Linked DNA regions of Cricetulus griseus. The protein of the gene in region 1 interacts with the protein of each later gene in a pairwise test. Links are inferred from orthologs where the notes say so. Each region holds a gene or a part of one and is shown on either strand. Other genes may lie near its edges. The genes, in order: Ptpn6 and Lair1.

Region 1 (12,281 bases):
TGTTATTGGCACTCGCCGTATTGCCGTATCTTCACTCATGAGCTAACGAGGGCAGATGAATCCAGACCACCCTCTGCTGTAGAGACTGGAGAACTTGCCAAGCACATAGGAGGCCTAGGTTCTATCCCCAGCATGAGTGAGAGAGGGAGAACACAGAGCAGTCTAACTAAGCCTTAGGAATGCCACAGGCTGCTGTGTGAAGCAGCATCCAGAACCAGGTCTCTCTGAGCCACAAAGTTGAGCTTCTATGCAATCACACATAACATCCCGGTCCCACCCTGCCCAGAGTCCCAGGATACATGGGACACACAGAGTTGGAGGCAACACACAGTGGTCCAGGGGCTTTATTTACAAGAATAGAAGTCTGGCTTTGCCTGAAGACTTGCTGGGCTATATACAGGTTCAGAGGACCACAGCCATTTAAATACATGAGGATGGGGTGGTCCTAAGGTCTGGTGTGTGGGGGCCACAGGTCTTGATCTGCCCAGTGGAGGCCTCTGCAGGGATTGAGGCTGATGCTGATGCTGCAGATAAAAGAGAAAAAGTGGGTCAGAGGGTATCTGGGGCCTGGAGAGAGGGCACGAGAAGATCTGGGGACATCCTGGCAGGGTAGCATTAGATTGTGACCTCCCCACAGCATGTCAGAACTGCTGTGGGAGCAACTGGGGCAGGGAGAGAGAAGACTACGCAGAAGGGGCCTCACCATGGCCACCTGCAGTCGAAGGCCCAGCTCACTTCCTCTTGAGGGACCCTTTGCTCTTCTCCTTATCTGCTGACCGCTGCTTCTTCACTTTCTCTTCCTTCTTGTTCTTGCTGTGCACGTTTTCATACACCTCCTCCTTGTGTCTGGGAGGTGAGGGAGGAGGGGAGAAGACATTCAGAGACTCTGCAGACCCTCCACACTCCCTCTCACTCAGTGAAGCCAGGAAAGCTTAGATAACCTGCTCACTGTCCATTCACTAGACCCAAAGCTCCCAGGACACAGACTACACTCACGCATGTGTCCACAGCTGGGCCATAGCATGGGCCCACACAGAGTAACAACGCACACTTCAGAAAATACTTAAGAGGGCTGGAGAGATGGCTCAGAGGTTAAGAGCACTGGCTGCTCTTCCAGAGGTCCTGAGTTCAATTCCCAGCAACCACATGGTGGCTCACTACCATCTGTAATGGGGTCTGATGCCCTCTTCTGGCCTGCAGATAGAGCACTAATATACATAAAATAAATAATTAAAAAAAAAAAAAGAAAATACTTAAGAACAGAGGTACTAGGAAGAAGGTTGACCTCGAACCAGGGTCTCTCCAACTTCCACACTGGTCCACTCCAGAAAGGACAGTTAAGGCTAGGCAGGAGAAGGGAGAAGATGTTGTGAGGGCAAGCAGGACCACTCACTTGGAAGAGGTACGGGAGGCCTTGGCGTGGGCACTCTTCATAGCGGGAGGGTAGGTGATATTCCCATACTCCGACTCCTGGCCCTTCCGGGACTGTGGGCAAAGGTGTGGTGGGAGGATGGTAGTACCAGCACGACTGGGTGATGCCCACTCTCCCCTACCACCCATCAGCCCCACTCTGCACACACTTGTATGATCTCCAGTTTCTTCTTGGTCGTTTCAATGAACTGGGCAATGGCCACATAAATGAACTTGTACTGTGCCTCTGTCTGCACCATGCCAGAGCGCTGTGCCCGTACCATCTGGATGGTCTTCTGGATGTCAATGTCACAGTCTAGCCCTGGACAAGGGTGGCAGTGGGACTTCAGGGTAGGCGAAGGTCAAGGGACTGCTTGCCCCTCCCCCACACCCACTCTCGTTCCCCAGGATCCTCACCCTTGGTGGAAATACTCTCCATGAGCATGTCAATGACAATGATGGTGCCTGTTCGGCCAATGCCAGCACTGCAGAGAGAAGGCACCGCCATCAGAGGCCCAGCTCTGCCCAGGAAATGGGGAGGCCAGGGGTTAACCCCAGCACTAGGTAAGGTGTGAAGAATCCAAAGCTCCAGCCACAAGGGTCGGTAATGTACCCAGGTCATTAGGCCAGCGAAGCAGGTGTATGCCCGTCTCTGCTCCCATTCCTCTGCCCCAGTCACAGGATGGACAAGCAGGTGCCAGTTTCCGGGCTAGAGATATCATTTCCCTCCTTCGCAGCATTTGTCCCCAACTTTCTGTTCCCACCCTTCACTCTTCCTAACTGACGGCTATCCTCATCCCTTGGAAAAACAGAACTCCACACCATGCCATTGTCCTGCCTGCTCCTCAGGGCATTCCAACCTTCAAGAGTTACATTCGGAGTGGGGCATTGGTGGTGCACACCTTTAATCCCAGCACTCGGGAGGCAGAAGCAGGTGGATCCACCGAGTTTGAGACCAACCTGGTCTACAGGGTGAGTTCCAGAACAGCCAAGGCTACAACAACACAGTGAAATCCTGTCTCAAAAAACAAAAAAAAGAGTTCCATTTGGAACTAGGCATGGTGGCATATGATTTTAATTCCTGCACTCAGGAGGCCAGCCCAGTCTACACAGAAAGACACAAACAAATTACATTTTGGATGAGTGTGGTGGCTCGGTGGCCATCATGCAAGCAAGCCTGAGAACCTGGTATCAGATCCCCAGTGTACACAAAAAGGCCAGGCACAGTGGCCATATAATCCCATTACTAGGAGGTTAGGTTAGCTCATTGGCCAGCCAGCCAAACTGAAGTGATAAGCTCCAGGTTCAGTGAGAGACCCTATCTCAAAAAATAATGTGGAGAGCCTGGTGTGTTAATGCCAGTACTGAGGATGCAGACAGAAGTTGACTGTGAGTTTGAGGCCTACTTGGTCTACCTAGCAAGCTCTAGGCCACTGAGCCACATAGAATGAGAGACACATACACTATAGACAGACAGACAGACAGACAGATACAAGTATAGATATATAGATAGGAGAGACCATATAAAAACACTAGGACCTCTGGCCTCCACAGAAATGCCCACACATGTACACACACCACACACAGACACACACACACATAGTTACATTTTACTTAGGGTATGCCTCGGTGGTAAAGCATGTGTTTCACATGCTTAAGAACCTGGGGTCCTATCCCTAGAAACACACACACACACACACACACACACACACACACACACACACACTATACACGGGGTGGGGGGGCATTTGTCCTTTCTTTTTTTTTTTTTTTTTTTTTTTGGTTTTTCGAGACAGGGTTTCTCTGGCTTTGGAGCCTATCCTGGCAGTCGCTCTGGAGACCAGGCTGGCCTCGAACTCACAGAGATCCTCTGTGAGTTCTCTGCCTCCCGAGTGCTGGGATTAAAGGCATGCGCCACCAACGCCCAGCTGTCCTTTCTCTCTGTGGAACTTCCTTTCTCTTTTCTTCGACATGGCAAAACTGTAGGGGCTGGCCCAGGACACGTGCAGCAGAGAAAGTGCAGTAGCATGCCTCCCTTTTCCAATGCCCTCTACCCCCACCCCCCACCTCCCACACCCTGAGGAAACAGATGATGCAGACCCCGGACCTGCCTACAGTCCAGTCCATGAGGCTGGTATCGAAAGTTGAGCTGTCTAATTTCAAACCCAGATTGTCAAAAATAAACCCCATACCACTTCCTTCCTGTAATTTCTAAATAAAGGCCATGGGGATTTCAAGAACTGTGTGAATGGGGGAGGGGTAGGAGAAAGGTAGTTCTTGGGGATGAGCTGTCCCTGAGATGGTAGAGTGCAGAGCTTGGCCCCCAAGACAGTATGGGGGTACTCCCAGCCTAGCTGCAGGACAGTTGTTAGTGGGGGAAGGAGGAAGTCTGAAGCTTCCACAGGCCTCGGGTTACAGGGACAGAGGAGGAAGGGGACAAAATTGGTTCCTGTTTCTCCAGATCGTACATAAGAAGCCATCAATGGTGTACACACAGAAACACATACACACACTACTGACATACATACATACATAAACACACATGGACACACACACACAGATATACGCGTACATATATCCATACATACCCAGACACAGAGATAATACACATATGCATAGAGACATACGCACAGGCAAGCACAAAGACACAGATATACACACAGATGCACAGAAACTTTTTTTTTTAAGACAGGTCTTTTTTTTTTTTTTTTTTTCTGGCTTTTCAAGACAGGGTTTCTCTGTGTAGCTTTGGAGCCTATCCTGGCACTCGCTCTGGAGACCATGCTGGTCTTGAACTCACAGAGATCCGCCTGCCTCTGCCTCCCAAGGTCTTATGCCTGGTGTAGCAGCACAGGCCTTTAATCCCAGCACTGGGGAGTCAGGGCCAGACAGATTCCTGTGAGTTCGAGGCCAACCTGGTTTACAAAGTGAGTTTAGGAGAGCCAGGGCTGTTACACAAAGAAGTCCTGTCAAGAAAAGGAAGGAAGGAAGGAAGGAAGGAAGGAAGGAAGGAAGGAAGGAAGGAAGGAAGGAAAGAAGAAAAGATCTTACTTATATGGCCTGGATCTCACGACACTCCTGTCTCAGCTTCCCAAACGCTAGACTACAAGTTTAGCCACCATGCCCAGCAATGGCAGTGACAAGGACCCACAACCGGGTCCACCCACAGGCCTGGAGTAGTGAAGGAGCCCGGAAGACATTGAGGGTAAGGGAAGGCATTCAGTGAGTCCCTATCTGTGTTGCTGACCGCTTGTCAGCTGCTGTTTTGGGCGGGGAGTGGGGGGCAGGTGGGGGGTGTGGCCTGCATGAATGTCTGTCCGCCATGTGCATGAGTGCCCTTGTAGGTTATAGGGGTGTTGAATCCCCTGGCACTGAAGTAATAGAAGGTTATATACATCACTGTGTAGGTGCTGGGCACCTCTGTAGCCCCAGCTGCTGTGTTTTTACACCGCACCCATGTTAGATCTCTTACCTGCAATGCACAATGATAGGCCCTGCGTGAGGCAAGCGTTCCTGTCGCTGGTTGATCTGGTCCAGGAAGCTGAGAACACCCCCAGGCTCACTGGGGACCCCATGGTCAGGCCAGCTCAGGTACTGGTAGTGCCATATCTCCCGAACCAGGTCCCCCTAGGCCAAGGACAGAGTCAGTACTTGCTGCTTCCACACAATATCCCTGTCCCACCCACCCAAACTAGAGCACAGATTTGAGGCGAGGCCCCCTGGAGTGTGCAGGGACTGGGGACACTCACATTGTCCAGTGGGGAGATCTGTAAAGTGCGAAGTTTGTATTCTGCGGTGTCATGCTCTCCACAGTTGGTCACAGAGTAGAGCCCATAGACTCGCTGAGTGCCCACCTCTGGCCAGTATGGAACACATTTGTTCTGAAAAGAGAGATGGGAAGGGATAAAGCACAGAGCTTTCCGGGGCTTTCTGGGCCCCAAGGCCTAGTGAGGTTTTTGGGTTTTTTGGCACAGGTGTATAGGCACAAACGTGGGGGCAGGGTGAGATGTGGAGGCAGAAGACCGATGCTGGGAGTCACCCTCCATCACTCTTCCACCGTATTCACTGAGGCAGGATGTCTCAGTCAAACCCAGAGCTCGCTAATATGGCAAGTCTTGCCAGCCAGCTTCTCTGGGGATCCCCTGTATCCTCCTTCCAAAGCTGGAATTGTGAGTAAGCCCCTCTGCCCACCCAGAATGTACAATAGTTCCTGAGGACCCGAACTCCAGCCCTCACGCTTTCATGCAAATGCTCCCCAACTGAGGCTTCTCCCCACCCCTCACCGGACGTTTTTTAAAGATGGATGAGCCCACTCAAAATCAGACCTGGGATCTGGCCTCAGGCTAACCACCTCTAGATAAGACCTGATCAGACATCTAACCGTATAATCTATCCAGTGACCACTGACGCTGTACCTACCGAGCTGTGGTTCAGACTCAAGTAAGAGACAGAGACAGTGGGCACAGTTCAGCAAGAGCGCATGTGCTTAGCGTGTACAAAGCTAGGAGTTCCATCCCTAGCACTACAAAACCCAGAAGACCAAGTCAGACAGTGTCCGTGTCCTAGGACAAGGGGCGATGCAGGTAACACAGACAGACAGAGCATGTCTGAGGAGCAGGGGGCTAGGGAAGGAGCCAGTTCTCCCGCAGGGCTATGGAGGCAATGCAGGATAGTCTGGGAGGCATGGCGGTCCAGGAGAGCCATTTCCTAGCAAAAACCGCCTCGTGCCTTCAGAAGCTGACACACTCAGACCAGCAGAGGAGATGTGCTTTACAGAGAAGCATGAGGATTGGAAGGAAGCCACCAGGCTTGCAGGGACAGTTCTTCATCCCAGAAGCAACTGGGAGCCACAGAAGGATTTTCAAAGAAAGCAGCTGGACGCTGTGTGCTTCTGGTAGGAAAACCTCCCACTGCACAAAGGGGCTGACATTTAAAGCTTCTGTGGTGCTGAGGATAGAACCCAGGGTTCCTGTACCGGGCAAGTGCAATGCCACTGGGCTATATCATCACTTCGGAGCATCCGGAGCTCAGGAGACCTGGGGTGCCCAGGAGTCACAGTGTATAGTGGAGACTTTATGTCAGGCCTCCATTTCCTAAGAGGTACTGGGCCTTTGCCACTGAGGTGTGTATGTGTAAGTTAGATTTCTGTGTGAGTGTACATGTATAGGGACACATTGACTACACACCATGCATGCAGCAGTCAGAGGACAGTTTGCAGAAGTCAGTTCTCTCCTACCTGGGTCCCAGGGATTGAACTCATGATGCCAGGCTTGGCCACAAGCACATGGTTTGTGAGCCATCTCACAAGCCCCTGATCTTACTTGTGTGTGGTGGTGAACAAGGACTGAGGAGGAAAATGTAGGGGTCAGGAAGGTGAGGTTTGCCCTACCCGGCCTTTCTCCACCTCTCGGGTGGTCATGACGATGATTCGGGTGTTCTCCTGCCAGACCATCTGCCAGAAGTCATTGACTGTGGCCTCCAGACAGCCCTGGCTGGCGATGTAGGTCTTAGAGTTCTCATCTGGACCTAGCAGCTGGTTCTAGATGCAAGCACAGAGAGACCCAGCCCGGGACTGTGAATTGCTGGGCATAAGATGTGCCCGTACCACAGTCACCCCTACCAAGGTACCAGCTCGTTTTCCCCAGAGGCACTGTACCCGGGGACCCTAACACACCTGGAGCTCTCAGGGACATGTCTGTCCCACACGGCTCACCCCACTCACCCTGACATAGTTAGCATTGATGTAGTCGGACCCAGGGATGTTACTGTCACGTCCCTGCAGAATCACTCGGCTATGGTCAACTGGCATGGGGAGAGAAGAAACAGCTTGGGCCACACCCTTGGGAAGGGGCAGACCCTTCCCAAGCTCTCAACTGTTCTTGTCTCCAAAGTCATAAACTCATAGAGGATAGGACAGCAGGTAGGGACAAATGCCTCTGGAGTGGGGGGGTGGGGGAGACAGAGGCTTTGTGAGCAGAGGTTGGCAGGGCAAGCATTATTGCCCGATGGCTGCGGAGAGGCTCTTGGAAAGTGAGGAGGCTTCCTGGGAAAGGAGAGCTCTGCTGGGCAGTGAGAGGCAGAGCTTCTGAGGAGAGGATGGGATACGTAGTGGGGGGACAGTGAGGGGCAGAGCTTCTGAGAGGATGGGATGGGTAGGGGTCTGCGGGGGCATGAGGGGCGGAGCCATAGTGCTCACAGGGAAGGATGTTCTTGTAGCGGTTCTTGCTCTTGTTTTCTGGCCGCTGCCCTTCCAGGCGCTGGTGCAAGTTCTTTACCTCCTGCTTTTGCAGACTCTGAAATGTGAGAGAAATGAGCCCCCGCCCCGGGGCACATCCACAGGTGGAGAAGTCATAGGTCAGAGCCACGTCAGAGGCACACAAAGAGGGCAAGGTGACCCAGCCTCACTGTCCCCAGAACACACCTCAAACTCTTCCCAGAAGCCGGCCTTGGCTGTGTCCTCTGACTCCTGCTTCTTGTTCAGTTCCAAGACCCGGTTTTCGATGTCAGCAGCATTTACCCGAGTGGCATAGTAAGGCTAGGATGACAAAGGGCAGGAAGTCATCGGCTAAGAGACCTCAGAAGCCCACATCTTCGATGGCTCAGGGGAAAGCAAGAGGCAAGATGCTGGCCCCTCACCTGCCGCAGGTAGACAAAGGCACCTGAAGCCTCCTCAATCCCAGTCTTCCTGAAGTGCTCCACCAGGTCTGTGAGGCTGTCAAATGTCTCTGAGCCACCCACAGTATAGCGTCCACCCTGAAGGACACCAAGTAGGGCCACCCGTCAGGGCCGAGTCCCCCTTCTGGCACTCCCAGTCTTAAATCCAACCCAAGAAGACCCTCCCACTGAAGGTCCGGCATGAGGCCTTCCCCACAGCCCAGCTGACTTACCTCACACATCACCTTGATGTGCGTGACCTTGAGTGGAGAGCCTGGGCCAGCTTTGGGCTGGTCATTGAGCACGGACAGCACGAAGTCACCAGGCTGGCTGAGACTCTCACGCACAAGAAATGTCCAGGGCTCACCCTTGGCCTGCAGCAGTGTCTCTGCCTGCCCTCCAGACATGTGGCCATGGTACCACCTAGGGACGTTGAAAAGATGGTGGGCAGGTCCCACAGTGAGCACTGACACCCGCTACCTTCCAGGCCTGAGCTACAAGCTTTCAAATCCACCACGACGTTTAGATCCATTACATCTCACAAAAATGCTGTGAGGAAAAAGCCAGGCTTGGAGCTAGAATCCCAGCTCCTCAGGAAACATGAGAATAGTAGTAAATTTGAGGCCAGCATGATCTACGTTGGGACACACACCTTTAATCCCAGCCCTCAGAGGCAGAAGCAGGTGGATCTACAGAGTGAGTTCCAGGATAGCCACAGAGAAATCCTGTCTCAAAAAACAAATAAACAAACAAACAAAAAACCTGCCTGCTTCTATTTCTATAAATAAATAAGTGGGTTATGATGGCTTGCTTTTATTTTGTTTGTTTTTTTGGAGATAGTGTTTCTCTATGTAGCCCTAGCTCACATTTATAATCCCAGCATTCAAGAGGCTGAATGGCCTCAATGAGGCCAGCCTGCTCTACATGGTAACTTTCAGGCCAACTTGAGCTACAGAGTAAGTAAGACCCTATCTCTGGGACCTGGAGAGATGGCTCAGAGGTTAAGAGCACCGAATGCTCTTCCAGAGGTCCTGAGTTCAGTTCCCAGCAACCACATGGTGGCTCACAACCATCCGTTATGAGATCTGGTGCCCTCTTCTGGTGTGCAGATATACATGGAAACAGAATGTTGTATACATAATAAATAAATAAAATCTTTAAAAAAAAAAAAAAGATCCTATCTCCAAAACAAACAGCCAGGCGTGGTGACACATAACCTGTAACTCCAGCCCTGGGTTGGCAGAGATAAGAGGATAACTGTAAGTTTGAGGCTAGCCTGGTCTACATAATGAGTTAGTTCCAAGCTAACCTGAGCTACAGAGTAAAATTCTGTCTCAAAAAAAGAAACAGCAGAGCTGGGCAGTGGTGGCTCACGCCTTTAGTCCCAGCACTTGGCAGGCAGATCTCTGTGAGTTTGAGGCCAGCCTGGTCTGCAAAGTGAGTTGGAAGGAAGGAAGGAAGAAAGGGAGGGAGGGAGGGAGAGAGGGAGGGAAAAAGAAAGAAAAGATGTGAGAAAGAAAAAAGTGAGATGGCTGAGGGTAAGAATTTTTGCTATCAAGCCCACAACCCAAGTTCGATCCCCAGGACCCACATGGTAGAGGGAGAGAACCAACTCTGATAGGTTGTCTTCTGATCTCTCTGCACACACTAAGACACATAAGTTCTATAACAAAAATCTTTTAAACAATGAAACAAAACAAAAGCTGAGAGATTGCCATTTCCCCAACTTTACAATAAGAAAATGGAGGTCAAGCACTTGCACACTGGTCCTAGGTCCTAAACTGATAAGCGAAAAGGCTCCACAGAGTTCACACCATGGAGACTGGGGCTATAGCTCAGTGGGAATGGAAGACCCTGGGTTCCATCCCCAGCACTGAAATCAAGGGAGAAGGGAGGGAAGGGGGATGTTCTAACAAAAATCCAGAGCCTCTTCTGAGTGTTTACAATGAACAGGCAAGTAAAACCCAGAACATTTGGAGGGACAAAAAGACTCATCCCCATGAAATGCAGACTTGGACTGGGTTAAAGGAGGGACAGTAAAATGTAGATGGACCCAAAGCACAGAAGGCAGTGGTTGAGGTGACAGAAGTCGGGAAGGACCAATGGTAAACTCCGGAGTGATGTGGGGACACAAACACTTGACTGAGAGGGTAGTCTCAGGGTTCCGGGGAGCCCAGGATGGTGTGAGTGAAGGGCTCAGAGGGGCTGTAGGGCAGAAAGCAGAACTAAGGACCTTTCCGTGAAGCGCCCCTTCCCAGGAGGAAACTGTAGCCCCACAATGCCTAGCCTCACAGGAAACCACGTGATGGAAAAAATACAAAACTCCTTCTGGGGAGAGAGTGAGAAGTGAGGTGGTGAGGTTTCTTCAGCTTAGGGACAGAGGGGGGGGCAGCATTTTCCAACCGCAAGGATTGGGGTGGGGAGAGTGGGGCTCAGTCCTGATCCTTCTCAACTCTGCCCAGAGGACACCATAGCTCAGGGCCCTTCAGAGGCTCCTACCCCAACCCAGATGTCCTGGGCTACCCCAGCCTATCTCGGAGACAGCCCAGGGCCCCCAAGCAATGTGAGGGGGCTCAGCTCCTTCCCTCAGGGACAGGATGAGGAAGTCTCCATGCAAATGTGAACTGACCACAGGCAGAGTTCACCACTGAGGGGACAAATGCAAATTTCCCAGAAGAGGCAGGGCAAGGACACAAGGAGTATTGGGCCATGGCTTCCGCACACCCTAGAGTTAGGGATGAAACTGAGCTTCTGGGTCATCCAAAGTGCCTCTTGGAGTCATCCAAACCCCTCAGTGGTCTGTCACCCATGTAGTGTTGCATGCTTCCCCTGTCTGTCCTACCCTGCTTCCCTGACACCCGTCAGCTCCCCCCTCCTCCCCTATCACAGTGAACATACCAGCTACAATTCTGCTATGCCTCCACAGTCCGTGTCCTCTAACACAGCAGATCCTGGCTTGACAGCAACAAGGGGAGACAAGGAGGTAAAAGAGCATCCAAGAGGCCAAACCACCTTAAGTGTTGCAGGTAGGAGGGGGAAGGAGAGAGCATGAGGCATGCCCTTCCTTTCCATCCACCACCAGAGGAGAAAAGCCTTCAAGGAAGTGTAGACCAGCCTCTTCGTGTTGGCTGGAAAGGGATCTCCAGAGGTGAACCACAGGGGCTTTTACCCCAATCATTCAAGTTCTACCTTTGTTTGTTTGTTTGTTTCAGTTTTTTAAGTCAAGGGTTTCGTAGCCCAGGCTAGCCTCAAAAGTGCTATGTAGTTGAGGACGAATTTGAACTTGTGGTCTTCCTGCCTCCTCCTGGGATTGCAGACATATGTCACCACTCAAGGTTTATGCAATACAGAGAATCAAACCCAGGGCTTAATGCAAGCACTTTGCCAACTGATCCACAGACCTTAGGCCTCCAGTTCCAAGTTTTAATAGGTGACTTGAACAAAAATATTGAGCTAAGTCTGTAGGCACAAATCTCAAAAAAGACTACAAACCACTGGGAAGTGGCTCAGTGGCAAAGCACATACCCGATAAGCACAAGGTCCAGAGTTCAGGCCCCAGCAGAGGGTCTGGAGTCGGGGGTGGGGGTCAAGGTTCAGAATCATTTCAACAGTAAATACACAAACCCAGAACAAGTTGGTATGCGTGGCCCCAGAAGTCCATGAGAAAGAACCCCCTAGTGTTATTCCATGCCCTTTACCTCAATAGGAGCTGTGTCAGTCACTATGCTGTACAGCTAAGATGAGTTACTGTGTAATGAAGGACATCTATTTATATGCCTCTCCTTGCAAGTGCTCTGGGGAGACCACCCAAGAACAGCCAGCCAAGTTATGGGGGCCATGTCCTTGCAGCTCTGGTGAGGGATATCCCAAGTGTTTCCTGGAGCCGGGTAAGCCTGGGTCCTTACCCCTCTATACCTGTGACCATATCAATGACCTTGCTTCACCCAAGCTCTGCAACCCCATCCTCACTGTGTTGTTGAGATAAAGCCCTAAGTATCCCAATAACAGGGATCCCTAAGACCTTCCTAACATGGGGACCTAAAAGGCCCAGACTGTGGAGAGCTGAGGGAAGGCAACAGAGTTCCATAGAAGGAAGAGCTTTCTAGCAATAGGGCCAACCTGATGGGAAACACCAGCCACAAGGAGTGGCCTCACTGTCACTCTCTGGACTAGGTTGCTAGACAGCAGGAACCCTACAGAAAGGCAAGGGGAGCCCT
Region 2 (12,753 bases), on another chromosome or scaffold:
AGATGAAAAAAAAACCCATGAGAAATGAGAAACATTCTCAGGAAAATAGATGGGTCTGGAGTTTATTACATGTAAGTAAAATAAACCAGACCCAGAAAGACAGTTATACCACATTATCTGTTATATGTGCAATGCATATCACGTGCAACACACACACACACACACACACACACACACACACACACACACACACACACAGAGAGAGAGAGAGAGACAGAGACAGAGACAGAAACAGAGAGAGAGGAGAGAGGAGAGAGGAGAGAGGAGAGGAGAGAGAGAAAAGAGAGGAGAGGAGAGAGGAGAGGAAAGAGATTCGGGTTAAAATAAAATATAAGATTATATGAACTGGATCACAGTAGGACTCAAGGACTTTATTCTTTAAAATGTGCCAGTAAGAACAAAAACTGTCAGATGGGAGTTGGCATTCACAATGTATGGAGTTGACACAGAACCCATTTATTTGCTTGACAAGAAAAGAAACTTTTTCCTATTTACCTAAAATATAAGTCACTTAGGGAAAAAAGAGGAAATGAGAAAGACTTCTCAAAAATGCAAAGCATATCCAAATGGCAAAAATTATATGAAAGTTGTCTCAATCGTGTTAGTCACAGGCCTGAAAAAGTAAAACTGCAAGAAGGTTCCATTCCAAAAAATGATTTAGCTAAGATAAAACAGAGAAGCTTCAACAGCTGGTGAAGCCATGGGGCGACCAGACAGACCACACACTACACTCGGTGGGAGTTGATCATTTTGGAAAATGCATTGTAGGAATCAATGAGATGAAGATATTTAAGACCACATATAACAACTGCTAAGCTCACACCAAGACATGAGCAAACAAGCCCAAGTACAGCTTTCATGGATTCCACCAATGTTGCATCAATACACACGCACGCACGCACGCACGCACGCACGCACGCACGCACGCACACACACACACACCACACACACACACACACAGAGAGAGAGAGAGAGAGAGAGAGAGAGAGAGAGAGAGAGAGAGAGAGAAGGTATTGTAAACAGTCAAAACCTATGGCTAGAAGCTAGCTATAACTGTAGCCCTAATTGTGGCTAGGGAGGTAAGAGCACCTAGCGGAGGAACTTACAGTTGTTTTGCTAAACGAACATGCTTTCAAAGCACCTTTCAATATTTGTGTTTATGGCCTTATAATTTGTGCTGATCTCAAACTTGGTCAAAGAAACTTCTCATTGCAGCATGTAGTGGCTGATGTTTACACTCATAACTGAGAAAAGTACTGAGAATAACCACCTTAGAGTGCTCAGCCATAGATGGGACACCAATATCAACTTGTCCCTGCCCCCAAGGCTCAGGAACCATCATGGAAGAGGGGTAGATAGAGTGTAAGGACCAGAGGATGGGAGGGGGTCCTGTGAAATGCTGGACATGACATGACTATTAGGTCCTGAACTATGGTGATCTGTACAAGATCAAGCCAGTTAAAAGTCCAGTATGGATGGGGCAAAGCTCTTTAGGTCCCACTTGTAGCTTAGGTTTGACTGGCAATTGATGGCTTCCATGAGAGGGAGAGCCAGTTTACTTTAAGGGTGTGACCCATCGTAGGTTGGCCATGATCCAATGGATGTCTTTTCATCTAAGAATATTTTGGCATCACTAATTTGATTCCATGAGTATAAACAAACAAACAAACAAACAAACCCAACACAGCTTGTGGCACATGTCAGTCATTTCATAACTTGGGAGGTAAAAGCAAGCACATCTGGAATTCAAGGTCATCCTTGACTATATAGTGAATTAAAGGCTTGCCTAGCTATATAACACCGTGTCTTAAAAAGAAGGAGAAATTTAAAGAGGAATATATACATGAATAAAAGTACAAAATATAATATATTTAGTTCTATTCCATAAACTCTAACAATTTCTCTGATGAGGCTTGAGATATCTGGTAATCTATGTCATTAGGAGTTGGTTCATAATACATTTTTAAAATTTTCATACATGCCGCCAAAACACTCATGCACATAAAACAAAGGGAAAAATATGTTACAAGAAAAAAGTTTAAAGGGTTTTGGAGCTATGACTCAATGGTAGAGTGCTTTCCTGGCATGTGGGAGACCCTACATTTATCCCTTACTACTGAAGAAAGAAAAGATGGAGTACGGAAGGAGAGAGGAAGGGAAGGAGAGAGTAGGAGGAATTACAAAGATGGAAAATTTCAAGTTTTGATTTAGCAACTCAGCAACTTCCTAGAGACTCTGACTCTCATGTTTGGTTAGTGTTTTGCTTAGCGTTAGTTCATTCTGTTCCACAATGACTGTATGTAAGTCACATCCTGGTGATGTAGTTGACAGAAGTAAAGGAGGGCAAAAGCCTCCTTGCAACCCTCCCCCCCCTTTTTTTTTAAAGAAAGGCTTGATTTCCACTAAACCTCAATACATAAAATACATTTCACGTTGAGTATCATTTGGTTGTATTTGGTCATCTGAGCTGATTTGGGAAAACTGGGCTTGGCAACACGAGCTTTACCATCCCAGCTCCTTGGGTGGTTAGGAAGGACCATGGCAAGGTCAGGACCTGTGTGGGCTACAGGTTGGACTGTTTAAATGGTCTGAGTTCAAATTTTGTTTCTTCCCTGTCCATGTTCAGAGGCTCAGAACAGAGCTACTTACACAGAGCTAGGTCTTTGTTAGGACGGGGACTGAGCACAAGCTGTTTAGTCAAGAACCACCAGTGTCTGTTGGGAGCAAGGTACTGAGGAGTCACCGTGCCTGTCTTCAGAAACAGAAGACCTTAGAGACGCCACGAGAGGATGCTTCTCTTCTCCCTTTGCTAGTGGCAGGCAAAGCACTGCCTTTTCTGGCTTTGACATAAGGGTATCCATTCATCCTCAAACCCTGGGTCTGTCTCTTGTCTATTCAGTTCCTTTAGAATTTTGTTTATGTCACTCTGGCCCAAAATGGTTTCAATGGTATTGCAAGAATATAGAGAGGGAGGGAGGGGGAGGGGACAGAGAGCGGAAGAAAGAAAGAAAGAAAGAAAGAAAGAAAGACAGAGAGAAAGAGAGGGGGGAAGGGAAAGGGAAGGAGGAATGGGAGGGGGAGATGGAAAGAGAGCTGGCTAGTGTTTTGTCAGCTTGACACAAGCCACAGTAATTTGAGAAGAGAAAATCTCAATTAAGAAAAAAGCACCCATCAGACTGACCTGTGGGTAAAGTTCTGAGTCATCTTCTTGATTATTGATGGATATGGGTGGACCTAGCCCACAGCGGGAGGTGCATCCCCTGGTCTGATGGCTCTGGGTTGTATAAGAAAGAAGACTGAGCAAGCCAATAAGAGGCCTTCCTTCCCAGGCTCTGCTTCAGTTCCTGCCGCCAGGCTCCTGCTTTGAGTTCCTGCCCTGATTTCCCTCAGGGATAGTGTTTCCTGAAAGTCTAAGATGAAGCAAACCCTGGCCTCCTCAAGTTGCTTTTGCTCGTGGTGTTTTATTGCAGCAATAGAAAACCTAGCTAAGAAAGAGAAAAGGGAGAAATCTGTTTTCTTAACATTTTCACTGTGCGGTTCAATATCAAGTTATCTTAGAGTCATTCTTATGGATTGACTAAAAATACTCTCTGTTGATAAATAATTTCCCCATTTTTTTTTCCTTCTGGTAGACAACATCACGAACTTTTCTTTTTATGAATTTGACTTCTTATCCGTTTTACAGTTTTTGAGATAGACTGGCTCAGAACTCACTGTGTAGTGCAAGCTGGCCTTGTACTCACGGTGATCCTCCTGCCTCATCCTCCCAAGTTCAGGGATTTCAGGCAGGCCTCAGCACGTCCAGCTTGAATATGTCTACTTAACATACTTCATGTGAGGGGAACAATGCAGTGCCTGCCCTTCTGGGGTTGTTGGTTTCATTGGGTCAAGGAATTTCTGGAAGGTCCAGCCTTATGCTGTTTTTCCTTCGGCATCATTATTATCTTCTCAGTTCCACTGTGTACATACACCACGCTTTTTCATGTGCGCTTTGGAATTATTTCTCCACCATAGCCCTTGTGAAGAGTGTTGCAATGGTTACACGACTGCTGACATATCACTTCCATACTTATTTCATCCTGTTACACAGGTTCTATTTTTAATTTCTTATTTTGTGCAATCTTCATGCTATTTCCAAAGAGGAAGGGCTCTCTTCCCTCTGATTTATACATTTTACCCCCACTAGTGGCATGGAAGGAGAGCCACAGGTCCCCCAAAATGATCCTGACTAATTCGCTCTGGGTTCCTGTTAACAGTATGAAAAAGATCCAATTTCTCCACTCCTGTTATCTCTTAAAAATATCATCCATGGCTGGAGAGATGGCTCAGTGGTTAAGAGCACTGACAGTTACTTAGAGGACCTAGGTTCAGTTCTCAACATCCATCTGGCAGCTAACAACTGTCTGCAACTCCAGTTCCATGGCATCTGACGTCCTCACACAGCCACACAGACAAGTGAGACGCCAATGCACACATAATAAAAATAAATCTTAAAAAATGTGGTCTGGGTCAGTGAGATGGCTCAGTGGGTACAGCTGTTTGCTTCTGAGCCTAAAAAACCAGAGTGCAATCCCTAGGGCCTACGTAGTAGAGGGAAAGAATCAACTTTAGTAAGTTGCCCTCTGACTCCTAGTCACACACATCAGTATTATTTAATAGTAAAAGTGATTGTCCATAGCTGGACACATTTAATGTGTGAAATATCTGCTTGGGCTCTTACAAAGATTGTAACATCAGAGACAGAGACATCAGCAACAGAGACAGAGAGAGAGAGAGGGGGAGAGAGAGGGAGAGAGAGGGAGGGGAGAGAGAGACAAGAAAGAGAGGAGAGGGAGTGAGAGAGAGAGGAGAAGCAGAGAGGGGAGACTTTATGATGATTCTCATTTTAAACATTATGAAATGGGGGTTTTGGGTGTTGAAATACCTTACCCAAGGATCAATGGTCATTTGTTCCTAAAATAAGGACTGATGTGTAAAATCTTATACCTCTGTGTCTCACATGTTTACAGCAAGACAAACGTGTTGAGCAATGAGTTTGGTTGCACCTGAGCTCCGAGGTCTGATGTTATTCTCAGAATCTGATACCTTCTCAAAGAGTCAGTGACTAAGGGAAAGAGTGGAAGCCCAGAGGAGAAACCTCTTCCTCTTCACGGGAGGAAACTGATATAGAAACCTTGCGACTAGCTCCAGTCCACACATCCTGCTTACTGTGTCGGCTGCAGGGCTTCAGCTCCAGACCTGGTCAGGCTGCTGGAGCCCGAATCATGTCACTTTGTCTTGCCACGGTGCTGGCCCTCGGTGAGTCCTGGGGTAAATGGAGGCATGGGGCAGGTGATTTGGGGAAGGGGGTTCTATTCCCCACTCATGCCAAGCAGATTCTGGAGACCTTGGGAGGAGAGTCTCTCCAACCCATCTCCTCCTTGGAGACTTGTTGCTAGAAACAGGGATGGGGCATGTGGCCAAATTCAGCCTTAAAAATCAATTAGGAAGAGCCTGTTTGGAAGGAGAAGATGAGCTGGGGACATTTGTTTTTCCCAGTGTTGGAGTTTGAACTAAGGGCTGAATGCATGTTAAATAAGCGCAGTATCACAGTATTCCATAAATCCAAGCCCTTCTTTTATTTTTTAAGATCACAGATGATAAGTGTTACTGAACACCCTTGTTCAGAGATTATTTGCTTTTTAAAACGTTTTTGGATTAGTTTTTTGAGTTTCCTAAATGACTCTCCCAACTCTTTCAAGACCCGCCTTCTTCCCGACCCACTCAACTTTGTTTCCATTTTCATTTTTAGTTTACTTACTTTGGTTTTCTTGAGACAAGCTTTCTCTGTGTCGCTGTCATGGAACTCTCTTTGTACACAGGGCTGGCCTTGAACACACAGAGACCCACCTACCTCTGCTGCCTCCCAAGTGCTGGGATTAAAGGTGTGCACCACCACCACCCGGCTCCTTTGTGTCCATTAAAAAAGAAGCCCTTTAAGACCAATTTGCGCTGCCCAAATATTGCCATGTGTAGTCTAGCACTGGAGCTATGTTGGCCAGGCTGGATCTCACTCATAGAGCTTCCTCTGCCTCACAAATGCTGAGATAAAAGTTTGCTCTACTACACCGAGTTCCCGGGGCTACTCTCTTAAAGAAAACTGACTTTCCCTCTTCCAGCAGCCGGCAGTTACCATTAGCTCCAAGGCTAAAGTAGGGAGCATGTGCCTAAATATCCATTCAATTCTGGTATTTGTCTGGCCTGGGCTTGCACAGGTCTTGTGCACGCTGTCACAAGCGTTGTGAATTCGTATGTGCAGCTGCCCTGCTGTGTTCAGGATACACTGTAGTCCCCCAAACCATCTACTGCCTCTGGCTTTTATGTTTTTCCCACCCTCCTCTTCCTAAATGATCTCTGAGACTTGGGAGGAGGAGATGTATGGTAGTATGTTCGCTTTAAGGCTGAGCATTCTGTAGGCTGGTATTCTCTACATCTTGAGCAGTTATGGGTCTCCGTGCTAATCTCTATCGACTGCTAACAGAAACTGCTCAGATGAGGTAGGGGAGAGGGATGCATTAAACCATGGGCATAATGATAAATACACTTTTTGTTATTTCTTTGAAAATTTCATAGATGCATGTAATATGTTTTGATCATATTCATCCCCATTTTTGCCTGTAATTCTGTACCCACCCCTTCCTCCCGGATTTTGCATCTCCTTTATTTTTCTTAATAATTCAATGAATATAATTCATGCTTCCTGTATACTCAAGAGTATGGGGCCATCTGCTGGAGCTTGTTCAACCCACCATAGGCCACACACCCTTAGAGAAAATTCTCTCTTCCCCAGAAGCCATCAACTGTAAATAACTCCTCAGCTTAGGAGTGCAGACCTTGTGACCCCTCCCCTCTCCAACCCAGCACTCATTTTACTTTTTTCCATTTTTATTAGACATATTAACCAGTTTATTATAGGCCTGGCAGAGTAGAGAGAGTAAGAAAGAAGAGAAACAGGGTTAATGGCTGACCGCCATGGCCAGTCACCATAGAGAGAGAGAACGTGCGTAGGTGGGAGAAGAGAAGAGCAGAGAAGGAGAGAGGAGAGTAGAAGAGAGAGAGAGAGAGAGAGAGAGAGAGAGAGAGAGAGAGAGAGGTAGGAGAGAGACAAGAGAGAGAGAGGAGAGGGAGAGAGAGAGTAGAGAGGAGAGAGGAGAGAGAGACACAGAGAGAGCAATAGAGACAGAGAGAGAGAGGGAGAGAGGGAGAGAGAGGGAGGAGAGAGAGAGATAAGAGAGAGAGGAGAGGGAGCTCGAGAGAGAGACAGTGACAGAGACAGAGAGAGAGGGAGAGAGAAAGAGAGACAAGAAAGAGAGAAGGAGAGAGAGCACCCTTTTCCATTTTTTAAATTTATGTTTCTCTCATATAATACATCCTGACAGGAGTTTTCCCTTCCTGCATTCCCCCGGCTCCCCCATCTACTTTCCATTTCCTCTACATCCACTCCTCCTCCAGTATCTTTTCAGAGAAGAGCAGTTCTCACAGGGGATATCAATCTAATATGGCATAGCAAGATGCAATAAGACTAGGAACAAACCCTCATATCAAGGCCGGCCAACGCAACCCAGCAGGAGGAAAAAGTCCCAAGGGCAGACAACGGAGTCAGAGACACACCTGCTTCCATTGTTAGGAGTCCCACAAAAACCCCAAGAAAAGCAACCATAACATACATGCAGAGGTCCTAATGCAGACTCATGTATGTTCTGAGATAGCCGTTTCAGTCTCTGTGAGGCCCCATGAACCGGCTTTGTTGATTCTGTGGGCCTGTTCTCCTGGTGTCCGCAACCCCTCTGGCTCCTACAGCATTTCCTCTTCCTCTCCCTCGTGGTTCTCCAAGCTCCACCTAATGTTCAGCTGTGGGTCTCTGTATTTGCCCCTGTTGTCTGCCAGAGGAAGCCTCTCTGATGACGATTGGGCTAGGCTCTGAATTAACTCCATTTTACTTTTGGTTTTGGGACATGGTCTAACTAAGATACTTGGGCTGTAGTCCAAGTCACATTGTAGCCCAAGTCATACTTGAACGTGTGACCCAGTTGCATACCTGGGATTTTGAGTCTGTGTCTCTGTCTCTGGCCTGGGGGGTAGTTTAAGAGTTCTTTCAGAGATAGAAGGAGGACTATACTCTGACTTTAATGGGGAGGAGGGATGGTTGGGTGATCATGGGAGGCTGGATGTCCCCACCTACATCTAGTCCTTCCTAGATTCTCATGTCTAAACAAACCATGTGTTCAGTGTCTTTCTCACTGGGTCTTTTCTTTCAGTGCTGTGCCTGGGACAGACAGATGACACAGTAAAAGGTGAGTCCTGTCTTTGGCTGCTTCCACACCCATGGGCATCTTTGGAGAGGATCGTGTGCACATGGGTGGCCTGGAGGGAGACCCTTCAATATTTCTTGTGATATTCCTCCCAAATAGATTCTCTCAGCAGTCATTAAATGCTTGTAGCTCTTCATCGAGGCAAGGGGCCCTGTGAGATTTCCCTCATGCAAGCTGGGATGTCAACTGGTGTTGTCTTTGTTCAGGACACGTTTAGGCAGCCATATTATTGAGGCATCATGGGTGTAGCTCCCAGTCATGTTGGGAAGATACACTCTTACTGTAGATGTCCTTGTCTTCTGGATTTCACAGTCTTCCTGTTCCCTCTTCTGTGATGTTCCCAGAGCCTTAGTTACACAAGCGTGCTGCAGATGTATCCATTGGGATTGGGCCCCCATTATCCGTTGTTTTCTGCGTTTTGACCAGAGGAGGCTTGCTCTAATGGCCTCCAGGTGCTGCAGAAAGAAACTTCTTCCATGATGGCTGAGAGCCCCATTTGCCAGTCAGAGGCTAGAGCCCTGGATGAGAACCCTGGGCCTGAGGTGGGATGTGTCTCAGTCTCCATAGTTTGTTTTGACACAGAATCAGACCACTGTGTTTCTCAGAGCTGGTGACTCCGACTTAAGCCACTCCCTTTGTCCTTGAGAGGTTTGTTTAGAGGTTCTAGCAGGGGAGAGCAGCTACTCCTATACCCTTCACTGAAGACCTGTCCTCTATTAGGGGAGCAGCAGAAGCTTCGGGAGGGCCAAACATGGATTGGTGAGGGAGGAAGGGGACACCCGCCTAGGCAGCCAGATCAGACGAATCAACCCTGGCCATCAGTGGGGTGACAGATGTCGCAGCCAGATGGCCCTCACATTTGATCCTCTTGTCCTATGAGGCTTGCTTGTCTCTAGGTTCTTCAACCTTCTTCCACTTTCCCTAAACACTCCAGGCATCCACGACACTCTGGGGTATCTCATAGGATGAATTTTAGAATGACAAAAATTGCATGTGTTTACCATATCTGACTTCATATTTGGAAATGAATAGATATTAGAGAATGACCAAATCAAGCCAATTAGTAATGATTCATCCCACACATTTCACTTTGTGGAAAGCACTTAAATCAAGCTCTCAGTGACTCCGATGGACAGGAGGCCTTGTGTTAATCATCCTTGGTGTATCCCGCAGCTGAGCTCTTGAACTGCTTCTCCTTGTGTAGCAGAGAGTCTGTCTGTGGCCTCTGAGAGGCACTTTATACAGTGTTTTCTCAGTGTTTGATTCTCCATGTCCCTGTCTGCTAGGCGCAGGGTGTTTACTCCTGTTTTTTGGGTCTCAGTGCAACTATCTCTCCCCTGTCATTTCAGGGAGGACACCTCTGATGTCACCTTGTCACTTGAGATTCCTATGCTCACCCCTCACCTTCTCTGAAGTCTTTGTGCCTCAGTACTGGACAGTTATTCTCTCTACACCAGTCTTCCCTCCCATGTTAGCTTCAAATGGAAGAAATTGTGTTCCTTGTGTATGTGAGGCCATAGAAACATAGAAAACAACCCCCAAATGATGACTAAGATACAAAAAATGGTTGAAAGAACGAGTGAAGGAAGGAGAGAGGATTAGGAAATGTTGGTCTAAGGGCAGAAAATTTTGTTTACACATTGCTGAGGGCAGGAGGTCAATTATGCATCATGACTACTGGCAACTATGCATTTGTAATCTCGGAAATTGCCAAGGGGTGTGATGAATGTTATCCTCACAAAAAGGTAAGTTTGTGATTTTATCCACATTGATTATCTTGATCCAGCTGTTCCACAAGTTACACCAAGACATCACCTTGAACACAATAAATGTGAGCATCTTAAGTTTGTCTTTTGGCATAAGTATACTTATCTGTGATTTTCTGGGGATGCTCCTACATTCAGACAGCTTGAAGCAGGTGAGCTTTTAAAGCCCCAATAACAGACTGGACAGAAGGAGATGGAGGTAGAAAGTGCAGAGTTCCCTGGAATGAGGTGGTTCCCAGTGAGGCAGTGGGCTCTGTAGCAGACATGTCCAGTCTGGGATGTTCTGAGATTTCCTTGGATGGGTCTTTGCTAGACCTAAATGTGCTTAGGCTTAGGTTCCTTGGTGTCATGTGATGGGCATTCAAATGCACAGAGAAAGTGAGGGTGTTATGAAGGTGCACTTTGGTCATGAGTGGAGAACTCTAAACTTGGTAGGAATATAGACTGATGTGCCTAAATTGGTTTTGTGTTGTGACAATGTCCTGCCTGTGTACACTGAGATTCCTGCTCTGCTCTCTCCTAGGATCTCTGTCGGCTCCTTCCATCTCTGCTGAGCCAGGCCTTAGCATCCCCCTAGGGCATACTGTAACCTTTGTGTGCTCAAACCCTAGTGGGTATGATGTATTCCGCCTGGAGAGGAATAACATGAAAGTCAAGGATGAGGAGAACACTCTCCATTCCATGACAGAGGCTAGATTCCACCTTGGCCCAGTGGATGAAAGCTTTGCTGGACGCTACTCCTGTATTTATGAGAAAGGGTCCAACTGGTCCCCACGCAGTGAGATCCTGGAGCTGATGGTAACCAGAGAAGATGTCACTCAGGCTCCAGACCCAGGCCCAGCAGTGACCTCAGGTTTGTTCCCAGGTCTCTGGACTTGAACCTTAGCTGCTCTCCCCTGCCTCAACTTCCCCTTCTTTTTCTTAACCCGAGGCTCCTTTCTCCCACCTGCCTCTGCACAGGTCCCCTCTGTCCTTAACCCCCAGATTTCTGCATTCTTACCAGCCCCCATGAATGACTTGGATACAGTCTGGGGGTAGGACACTGAGTTATTCCTGATTACTGGGTAGGGACTGAGCTCCAGCAATGGTGGGTGTAGACTCCTTTCTGGGAATACATGTTTTCTTTTCTTTCCACCGGGCTTGGTGATTTATCCTGTCCTTCCACTGAGTCTGAGCCCTTGGGGGCTGAAGGAATATATCTCCTCTGGAGTGGTACCATCTCACCAAGCGGGTCATACAGTCAGTCCCTGGAGGGCTGGCGGGCAGGGCTGGACTATTCTCTTGGGAGTGCTTTCTTATGGCCTGCCTGTGGTCAGGCCTCATTGTACTGGGGTCAGGATACAAAAAGAAGTTATAGTCCATTTCCATGTCTTCCCACAGCTTCCTAGGAGTTTCTCAGTGTTTATTGTGTGCAGATCGAGTGACAGGGTTTACAAAGGAAGGACCAGTATTCAACAGGACGGATTTAGGAAGGCCTCTGCCGTATTTCCTGTTTCCCCTGTCCTGTCACTTCAGGTCTCTCTCATGGTCTGCGGCTGAGTGATGGGCAAATCACCCCTTTGAATCCATACTTAGGGTGGAGAAGGGGTCTACATAGCTCTCCTCATAAGCTTTGTCTTGTTGCCGGTGTTGTAGTTTATAACGGGTTATATGCTGGGTTCATGTCCTGACTAGCTTCCTGCTTAGCTTTGAAGCCAGGCTTATACTATCAGACTCTTCCTCCTCCTCCTCCTCCTCCTTCCTTCCTTCTTCCTTCTTCTTCATTTATTTTTTGTAGTTGTTTTATTTTGAGACGGGGTCTCTATAATTCTGACTGTCCTGGAACTTGTTTCATAAACCAGACTGGCCTCGAACGCACAGAGATCCTCCCGCCTTTGCGTCCTGAGTCCTGGGATTAAAGGCGTGCGCCACTATGCCTAGCAACCCTTCTATCTTAAATACGGAGAAAATGAACGTTCTTGGTCAAGGATACCAAGTTCTGAAAACTGCAGGACAGAAGCAGTGCCTGCAGCCACACCCCAGGCCTCCGCCTGCGCAGCTCTATGCTGCCCTCTTGTGGTGTTAGCCTCACTTCTCCCATTTGTTCTGCGCCATGGAGCCTGTTGGGTCCCTCCTTGCTGGCGACAGTTAAGGGGACTCTTTCAGTGTCCTGCCTGACAAAGATATAAGGATCCCCGAGAGGAAAGTGCCACGGGAAGCGTGTGGCCTGCGAAAGGTAACTAGTCTGGGACGCTGTTGTAAGTGGAATGAGACTTTTTTCATTCCTTGTGTCTCAAGCTGCCCGGCAGTGGCACCAGGGCCACACCCTGTAGGGAGGAGATGTGGTCCCGAGTCACTGCGATCTCTCTGATCTGGGCTGAGTTACTGTGAGGCTAGCTGAACACACTAAATCACCATCCTGTTTTTTGGCTTTTTAAACAAATAGTCTCTCATTTTAAATGCACCGGTCCCAAGATGAGTCAAACTGGACACTCACGGTGGGGGAAGAGAAAAGGTCCTACCGTTGGAGACATAATGGAGAGATAATTAGGTGAATCACAGAATCAGGTCTAAAATTAAATGTATATTGAATGATAAAATTATCCTATAGTTAAATTAAACAATGTCATTGATGTAACAATATAATATATCTTTAC

What was found.
Region 2: the proteins of Ptpn6 (region 1) and Lair1 interact in binary tests that used the Homo sapiens proteins (3 or more experiments, as listed by UniProt). The link is inferred for Cricetulus griseus from reciprocal best matches to the Homo sapiens genes PTPN6 and LAIR1.

What each region holds. Positions count from the first base shown.
Region 1 is NC_048601.1:21,675,316-21,687,596, reverse strand, and holds the end of Ptpn6 (tyrosine-protein phosphatase non-receptor type 6), read right to left. Parts: intron 8,488-12,281; coding exon 8,298-8,487; intron 8,164-8,297; coding exon 8,047-8,163; intron 7,946-8,046; coding exon 7,832-7,945; intron 7,704-7,831; coding exon 7,607-7,703; intron 7,213-7,606; coding exon 7,133-7,212; intron 6,950-7,132; coding exon 6,800-6,949; intron 5,292-6,799; coding exon 5,160-5,291; intron 5,038-5,159; coding exon 4,883-5,037; intron 1,896-4,882; coding exon 1,828-1,895; intron 1,733-1,827; coding exon 1,581-1,732; intron 1,486-1,580; coding exon 1,394-1,485; intron 847-1,393; coding exon 732-846; 3' UTR 704-731; intron 525-703; 3' UTR 329-524; downstream 1-328. UniProt on the Homo sapiens protein: Tyrosine phosphatase enzyme that plays important roles in controlling immune signaling pathways and fundamental physiological processes such as hematopoiesis.
Region 2 is NC_048602.1:22,316,467-22,329,219, reverse strand, and holds the start of Lair1 (leukocyte-associated immunoglobulin-like receptor 1), read left to right. Parts: upstream 1-5,264; coding exon 5,265-5,298; intron 5,299-8,297; coding exon 8,298-8,333; intron 8,334-8,777; coding exon 8,778-8,893; intron 8,894-9,071; coding exon 9,072-9,172; intron 9,173-10,728; coding exon 10,729-10,970; intron 10,971-12,753. UniProt on the Homo sapiens protein: Functions as an inhibitory receptor that plays a constitutive negative regulatory role on cytolytic function of natural killer (NK) cells, B-cells and T-cells.